Linked DNA regions of Rattus norvegicus. The protein of the gene in region 2 binds, or shares a complex with, the protein of the main gene of each other region. Links are inferred from orthologs where the notes say so. Each region holds a gene or a part of one and is shown on either strand. Other genes may lie near its edges.

Region 1 (3,748 bases), on a different chromosome or scaffold from region 2:
AACACTTGGGGGGACAATCAGTGCATTCTGACAGGTCTATAATAATAAATATCCACCATTGTAGTGTCATAGAGACTAATACTAAGAGCTGCTCACAGAGTGCAGTCAGACTGAGTCAGAAAGCTGAAAAGCCAACCCCCAAGAACAGGACTAAGAAGCAGGGAATACCTACCTCCTAGCTTGCCTCAGATACCTGCGTGCAGCCTGTGGCCCATCATGGCCTGCTAACCTGGCTGTAAAGCACCTAGCGTTAAAAAGAGTGGCCTCTTCTCAGTGGCCTTTTACAAAGGCAGAAGCAGAAGCCGGGGCTGTTGCTCACTGGGTAGAACATGATGTCTAACATTTGCAAAGCCCTGGCACTTCATGAAACAGGATGTGGGAGAGCACACCTCTAAACCAGCACTTGGGAGGTGGAGGCCAGAGGTTCAGGAGTTCAAAGCTTTGAACTGATTCAGAACTAGCTCTGGCTATCTTGAGACCATGTCTCAAAGAAAAAAGCTAAAGGTCCTTAATTGCTGAGCCTGGTGAAAGGAGAACCGACTCCTTTTCTTTTCTTTTTCTTTATTTTTTTAAGGTACAGTGTATTTTCTTTCCTTTTCTTAAGATTTTTTTATTTATTATAAATAAGTACACTGTAGCTGTCTTCAGACACACCAGAAAGGGGCATCAGATCCCATTACAGATGGTTGTAAGCCACCAAGTGGTTGCTGGGATTTGAACTCAGTACCTCTGGAAGAGCAGCCAGTGCTCTTAACTACTGAGGAGAGCCACCTCAAGAACCAACTCTTCCAAGTGGTCCTCTGACCTCCATACTTGTGTGCCATGGTACACCCCCACATCAAGACAAGGCCAATGCGATTTAAGACTGCATGGGCAGGGTTGGGGATTTAGCTCAGTGGTAGGGCGCTTGCCTAGCAAGTGCAAGGCCCTGGGTTCGGTCCCCAGCTCCGAAAAAAAAAAAAAAAAAAAAAAGACTGTATGGACAGCAGAACCCATGTTCCTGCTTCCCTCAGAAACACCTTGCATCTGGTCTTAGAACACTGAGTCCAGAAAATCTTTTAGTGGACATGCTCTTCAGAGGAGTTCTGCCACTCATACGAACACTGGGCTTCACTAATTTGCCTTTGGGAGCCCCTGCAAAGGTGTATGTGCCCATGTGAAGAAGTGCATGCCTGTCTGATGAGGAGGAGACTGTGGAAGCAAGTTTACCTGGACTTCTCTTTCTACAATATATTTTGCTTCGAAATTGTATTCTATCATTTCTCTGCCCTGCCTTGTTCTAACTCGATTGCGATTTGAAGTACCATGCATTTACAACGTGGGGATCCGCTCTTCCGATGGTACTTCGTCCTGGCATATGTGGCTTGCACTTACCGGCATCTCATGCGCTGTGGGAGCTCTGCTCCCATAGGTTTGGTTACTGGTCCTGTACATGGAAACAGCTTCATTGGTACTGTGGAAGAGAGATACACTGTTTCCCATCCAGCCTCAAAATAAGTCAGCCAAGTCATAGCCTGGAAGAATTTGATTGATGGAACTTTTAGGGCCATGTCCCCGTAGACAATACCCTCTCCCATCAGGCCTGCCTCTCTGGCCTCCTCTGCTGGCCGTGGCCCCTGATCCTTCCAAAGGGAACCCCTTCAGGATATGCAAATGCTGGAGGAGGGGTCTTGGTGGAACCTTGGCACAGACTGCCACTGCCAGGTTTGTTAGCTACCTCAGGGACATCTCGGTTTCCAGACCCCTATCACTCAGGAACCCCTCTGCTTTTGAGCTCCAACCTTACAGAGCTTCTGTCAGGTGGAGAGGAGGAAGGAAATCTAGTGTGTGAGGCTGTGGTCTGTGACAGAGAGGCTACCAGCAGCTCTTCTCCACACCGGAGGCCTCAAGCAAGCTGTGTAGAAAGGGGACGTGCCTGCACCTGCTTCACAGAAGTCAACGGCTTCCATCCTTATTTTCAAGAGAGACAGGCTGCTCTGTACAGGGTATAACTTTCAGGGAAGCTTTAAAACTGGAGACACCCCCTGCCTGCAACAAGGCTACATTCACACACGTTCACTCTTGTGGTGCTCAGACAGCAGGACCCTAATAGTAATGGTGACACGGGCACAGGGTTCATGTCTGACTTCTTTTGACCTCAGCAGCCAGGCACTTGGGAGTTCTCACACGCATGGCCAAAGCTAGGGCCTTACCTGTAGCCATGAAACCACCCCGGGTTGTTGAACCTGTCTGGGAGCTTCTCGCTAATGCGGTAGTAGTCGCTCGTTTTCTCTGGGGCAGGCTTAGCCTTGGGCTCCACCGGCTCGGCGCACTCTTGGGGGTTTTCTTCAGACATTTGGCCTCCCACAGGAAACTAGCCCAGGACAGTCAAGTCTGTGGCTACTGCGGCAGGGCGTCCTGTTGCTAGGCAACGAAGTCACCTGACCAGGAGGCGGAATGGTCTTTTGTAGTCTTTTGTGAGTTTTTTGGCTAGGAGCTGTAGTCAAGTCTAGAATCTTCCAGAGGGCGAATAACAAAGGAGACCGTGAGTTCTAAGCAAGGAATTCCAAGCGTCCACTTGCCGCTCCTCTGGGAGTTCCGCTGGTCTCTTTCTGGGACTGTGGGAACAACCCTGTATCATCCCAAAATGCACTAGGAAGTAGATCCCGGCTAATGAAACCTTAGATCCTGGGAGTTCACCAGCCAATAGGCAGGGATTAGCGGCTTCCAAGCTCTACCTGAGCAAGTCCTCACTAGTCTGTCGTTTACTGTACTGGCCATGGCTTCTCCTTGGCCTCCAACACCCCATACCCCCAACAACTCAGCCTAAATCTATTTGTGAGATGATACTAAATTTAGGGAATCCCAGGCCAAATACCGTTGAAATATAGCAAATGAGCTTGCGAGCCATGCACGTAGTTCACATGGAGGTTCAGACGCCAAGAGTGACTGGTCAATGAAGTGCTAGTGCAATGCCAGCAGGCAGCTCTCTGAGTTTGAGGCCAGCCTGGTTTACGAAGAGAGGTCTAGACCGGTCAGGGGTATATATCGAGACCCTGTCTTAACAACAATAATAACAATAAATAATTTTAAAACAAACAATAAAAACTACTTGAGGCAGAGTATGGTGGTGTGCACCAATAATTGCAACGCCCAGGAGATAGAGGCAGTCAGATCTCTATGAATGTCTGGCCAGTCAGGAAGATTGGTTTGTCGTCGTCGTCGTCATCACTGTTTAGTGTAATTTGGAGATGGAGAGATGGCTCAGCACTTAAGGGCATTTGTCGCTCTTGCGACAAATTGAACCTGGGTTCAATTCCCAGAGCCTACAAGGTGACTCAAACATCTTTAACTCTAGCTCCTGGAGGTCAGACACCTTCTTCTGATCTCCACGGGGACCAGGCACTCACAAGGTGCATATAAATACATATAGGCAAATAAATAAATAAATAAATAAATAAATAAATAAATAAATAAATAAATCAGTAAATCTAAAATAAATGTTAAAAAAGAAAAGAATGCAATTAAAAACCAAACAATAAACGGGGCGGTAGTAGGGCATGCCTTTAATCCCAGCTCTCTAGAGGCAGAGGCAGCCGGCTCTCTGAGTTCAAGCCAGCCTGATCTACAGAGTGAATTCCATGACAGTCAAGGCTACACAGAGAAACCCTGTCTCAGGAAAAAACGAAAACAAAAACAAAGAAAACCAAACAACAACCTCTCCCCCACTAAAAAACAATTTTGAATAAGAGGATGGTCTCCTCCAGAG
Region 2 (3,712 bases):
TTTGTTTTTGGTTTTTGAGACAGGATATCACACTATATATCCAGGCCGGGTACAAAATAACCGCAGTCCTCCGCTTCCCAATGCTGGGATTTACAGGCATAAACCACTAAGGGCGGTTATGATGACCTTGAGCTGCAAGTCTTCCTGCCTCTGCCTCCCAGGTGCTGTTGAGGGTCATAGGCGTGGTCTATTCATACTGAGCTTCTGAATTTTGCTCAAATATTAATAATAATAGTAATAATAATAATAACCACAATAATACAACTGTAAAACTAAACATTTACCCACGCCTTTTTGACCATCATTCCCATAGCTCTTGCTACTTTATTTAAAGCGAACAGAGATGTTGAATCCTGACGGAACGTATTTAAATTTAGTGTAGTATAAATGAAAAGCTGGAATTTACCATAAAGAATCTCAACACAAATTCTGTGATTAAGTGTTGGGGAAAACCTTAAATTATCCTAACTACAGTTTAAGGTTTAAGCTCCGTATAATCACCCAACCCCCGTTTTCTTTCTTCCCTCTCTACCCCTCCCCAGCTCCACCCCATAATGGATGCTCGGCTAGTTGCTTTTGCGAGGCCTTTGTCTGAAGGATGCAAAATCTACGGATGCTAGCGAGGGGGGGAAGGGGGGAGAGATTACCTCATACCATGTCGCTTGCACCAATCACCACTCTCCTGTCGCGGCTTCTCTGGGCAGACGGAGGGGTCTGGACCAACAGGAAAAGGCCTTGGCCCATCCCCATGGTGACCGAGCTGTATATAAGGAGGCGCATCCGCCCAAGTGCCGCAGGTTCTCTTACATCGACCGCTTAAGAGTCGCGCTGTAAGAAGCAACACCTCCTCCTCGCCTCCGCCATCCACCCGGCAGCCGCGAAGCAGCAACCATGGTGAGCAAACCTTCCCGGGCTCTCAGGAGCGGGTGGGTGTCAGCCGGCTCAGTCTGCAAGGAGACGCCTAAGCCTTTTGTCATCTCTGCGGGGAAGGGTGGTCTGGATGCTTTAAGTTTAGCTTAGTCCGTGAGTCCCGCCGCCGCAGTGCGGGACACGGAAACGCCCAGACCGGGAAGAACAAAGGCTGCGCCGGCGAGCGATTGCTGGCAGAGCCCGGGACCACAGGGGACCGGCGGGGGAGAGGGAGGGTGCCGCAGGGTCTGCTGCAGCAGGAGGGCAGGGCGGCGGCCGAGCCCGCACTCCAGAAACGCCGCCCTAACTCGCTGGGAAAATAGTTTGCCTGGGATCCATGGCAGCCGCTGTCAGGGAGGCGCAGGGGCGGGGTTGTTTGTCTCTTGCTTCCGTGGCGTTTTGGGAGGGGTTCGCTCTCACTAAGCCTCACTCCCGAGCTGGGTTTTTTATTATTATTATTATTAATTTTTATTTTTAAAAAGAATCGTTGGGGAATTGTAGTCTTACGAGATGCTCCACGGGGCCATCTCGCTGGGTGGGGGGAGGGGAGCTGGATGGTTGGGAATGACAAAGCCCACTTTGTGAAGCCCGAGTAGCTGACGGTCAGAACCCAGGGAAACGCCCTTCCCCGCCCCCAACCCCCGCAGACAATGAAAGTTGTCCCTCCAAGGCAGAAGTGTCTCTCTCTATAGAATAGTGGTTTATTATGTTGTATGTAGAGATTCATCGGATAAAAATACTATTTTCTACTTTTAAATATTAGTTATCTTTTCACTTGTTTTTTTTTTAATTGTTGGCACTAATTGTGTGCACTGTGTTTCTAACTTAGCCTGCTTTAAGAATGTTTCCGTCCCATCCAATAGAAAACCTTCAAAAACCATAATGATTCTGCTGCAAAGAAAAAAAAAATGATACTCTGCACCCGACTGCCTTTTGTTCTAATATATGACACTCATTCATTAATTCAGGCAGATGGCCCCAGGCAGGGTTGGGAGGCACGCAGAAAGCTGCACAAAGAGATCACGTAGACAGCTTCTGGAAATAGAGCTTTCTCTGTTAAATAATGTAACAGACCACAGGCTAGAGCCAGGCACAGAGAACGCGGCAATGCAGAAGTCAGACTCAATAGCAGGTAACCTAGCCTAGTACTGACCGGGCCCACAGAAGGGTGTGGCTGCTGGCCTCAGCCGCACTGCAGATGTCCACATTGAAATACCAGGTCCTATAGGATGAAACCTTAAACTTTGTGAGACTCGGTCTAGCTTGCAGCTTAGCCAGAGTACTAATGGGGTCCACAGAAGGGTGTGGCTGCTGGCCTCAGCCGCACTGCAGATGTCCACGTTGAAATACCAGGTCCTGTAGGATGAAACCTTCATCCTTACTTAACAAGAAAAGAAGCAATTAATGTAATTTCGGGTAATTATTTCATTTTACAGAATCTATGTTTTGAATATTTTTCAAATATGAAGACTTCTATTCAAACACTGCTATGGGAACAATGGGTTGGCACCATGTCTTAAGCAGTACTAAGGTGACATTGAGGCCACACCCACTTTCAGTATTGGTAGTGGGTACTCCTTCCTCATTGTGTCTGTCATATTAGGGATATGACACTAAATAAATTTAAACAATGTTTGTATTTTTAGAAACACTTTAGAAATCTATTAAAATCTAAAATAGAAGTACAGCTTAATATTACAACAACTTAATTTTATGATATTTTTTCCCCCTTTCCACAGCGTGAGTGTATCTCCATCCACGTCGGCCAGGCTGGTGTCCAGATCGGCAATGCCTGCTGGGAGCTCTACTGCCTGGAACATGGCATCCAGCCTGATGGCCAGATGCCAAGCGACAAGACCATTGGGGGAGGAGATGACTCCTTCAACACCTTCTTCAGTGAGACAGGAGCTGGCAAGCACGTGCCCCGGGCGGTGTTCGTAGACCTGGAACCCACAGTTATTGGTAAGTGGACTGGGGGCTTCCCTGGGGCAGTCCTTCTTGGTCACATACTCAGAATGTCTCTCCAGACCCGGAAGGGTGAGTGAGCTTGTGGGGTCCTTGGTGGTGATGGCTGATGTCTTCTCCTTTTTCAGATGAAGTTCGCACTGGCACCTACCGCCAGCTCTTCCACCCAGAGCAGCTCATCACAGGCAAGGAAGATGCTGCCAATAACTATGCCCGTGGCCACTACACCATTGGCAAGGAGATCATTGACCTTGTCTTGGACAGAATTCGCAAGCTGGTAAATGCCCTATGTGGATGGGTTTAAAATGCAGTGGGAGGGTGTCTTGGTATCTGTCAAAATGTGTCAGGTCTTTCCTATCAGGTAGAGATGGCTCACAGTCTAAAGGAATTGAAATAGTGTATGCCCTGGTAATAAGACATTATATGTCCTTTTCTCCCACAGGCTGACCAGTGCACGGGTCTCCAGGGCTTCTTGGTTTTCCACAGCTTTGGTGGGGGAACTGGCTCTGGGTTCACCTCCCTGCTGATGGAGCGGCTCTCTGTCGACTACGGAAAGAAGTCCAAGCTGGAGTTCTCCATTTACCCAGCCCCCCAGGTTTCCACTGCTGTGGTTGAGCCCTACAATTCCATCCTCACCACCCACACCACCCTGGAGCACTCTGATTGTGCCTTCATGGTAGACAATGAGGCCATCTATGACATCTGTCGTAGAAACCTCGACATTGAGCGCCCAACCTACACTAACTTAAACAGGTTGATAGGTCAAATTGTGTCTTCCATCACTGCTTCCCTCAGATTTGATGGGGCCCTGAATGTTGATCTGACAGAATTCCAGACC

Evidence for each region.
Region 1: the proteins of Tuba1a (region 2) and Pierce1 are in contact, whole or in part, in a cryo-EM structure (PDB 7UNG), measured with the Homo sapiens proteins. The link is inferred for Rattus norvegicus from reciprocal best matches to the Homo sapiens genes TUBA1A and PIERCE1. Residues at the interface, in NP_001257328.1 of Homo sapiens: Met1, Arg2, Gln15, Asn18, Ala19, Glu22, Cys25, Leu26, Glu27, His28, Gly29, Ile30, Gln31, Pro32, Asp33, Met36, Pro37, Asp39, Lys40, Asp46, Asp47, Ser48, Asn50, Glu77, Gly81, Thr82, Tyr83, Tyr224, Thr225, Asn228; in NP_001041730.1 of Homo sapiens: Tyr28, Pro35, Gly36, Arg37, Phe38, Trp43, Phe44, Arg45, Gly46, Tyr47, Arg48, Thr58, Ser59, Asn60, Gln61, Ala62, Tyr63, Gly64, Arg66, His71, Glu72, Pro74, Phe77, Tyr78, Pro79, Asn80, Ser81, Asn82, Lys83.

The regions. Positions count from the first base shown.
Region 1 is NC_086021.1:32,197,159-32,200,906, forward strand, and holds the start of Pierce1 (piercer of microtubule wall 1 protein), read right to left. Parts: upstream 2,404-3,748; 5' UTR 2,336-2,403; coding exon 2,193-2,335; intron 1,454-2,192; coding exon 1,375-1,453; intron 1-1,374. UniProt on the Homo sapiens protein: Microtubule inner protein involved in the attachment of outer dynein arms (ODAs) to dynein-decorated doublet microtubules (DMTs) in cilia axoneme, which is required for motile cilia beating.
Region 2 is NC_086025.1:131,992,933-131,996,644, reverse strand, and holds the start of Tuba1a (tubulin alpha-1A chain), read left to right. Parts: upstream 1-825; 5' UTR 826-891; coding exon 892-894; intron 895-2,648; coding exon 2,649-2,871; intron 2,872-3,002; coding exon 3,003-3,151; intron 3,152-3,316; coding exon 3,317-3,712. UniProt on the Homo sapiens protein: Tubulin is the major constituent of microtubules, a cylinder consisting of laterally associated linear protofilaments composed of alpha- and beta-tubulin heterodimers.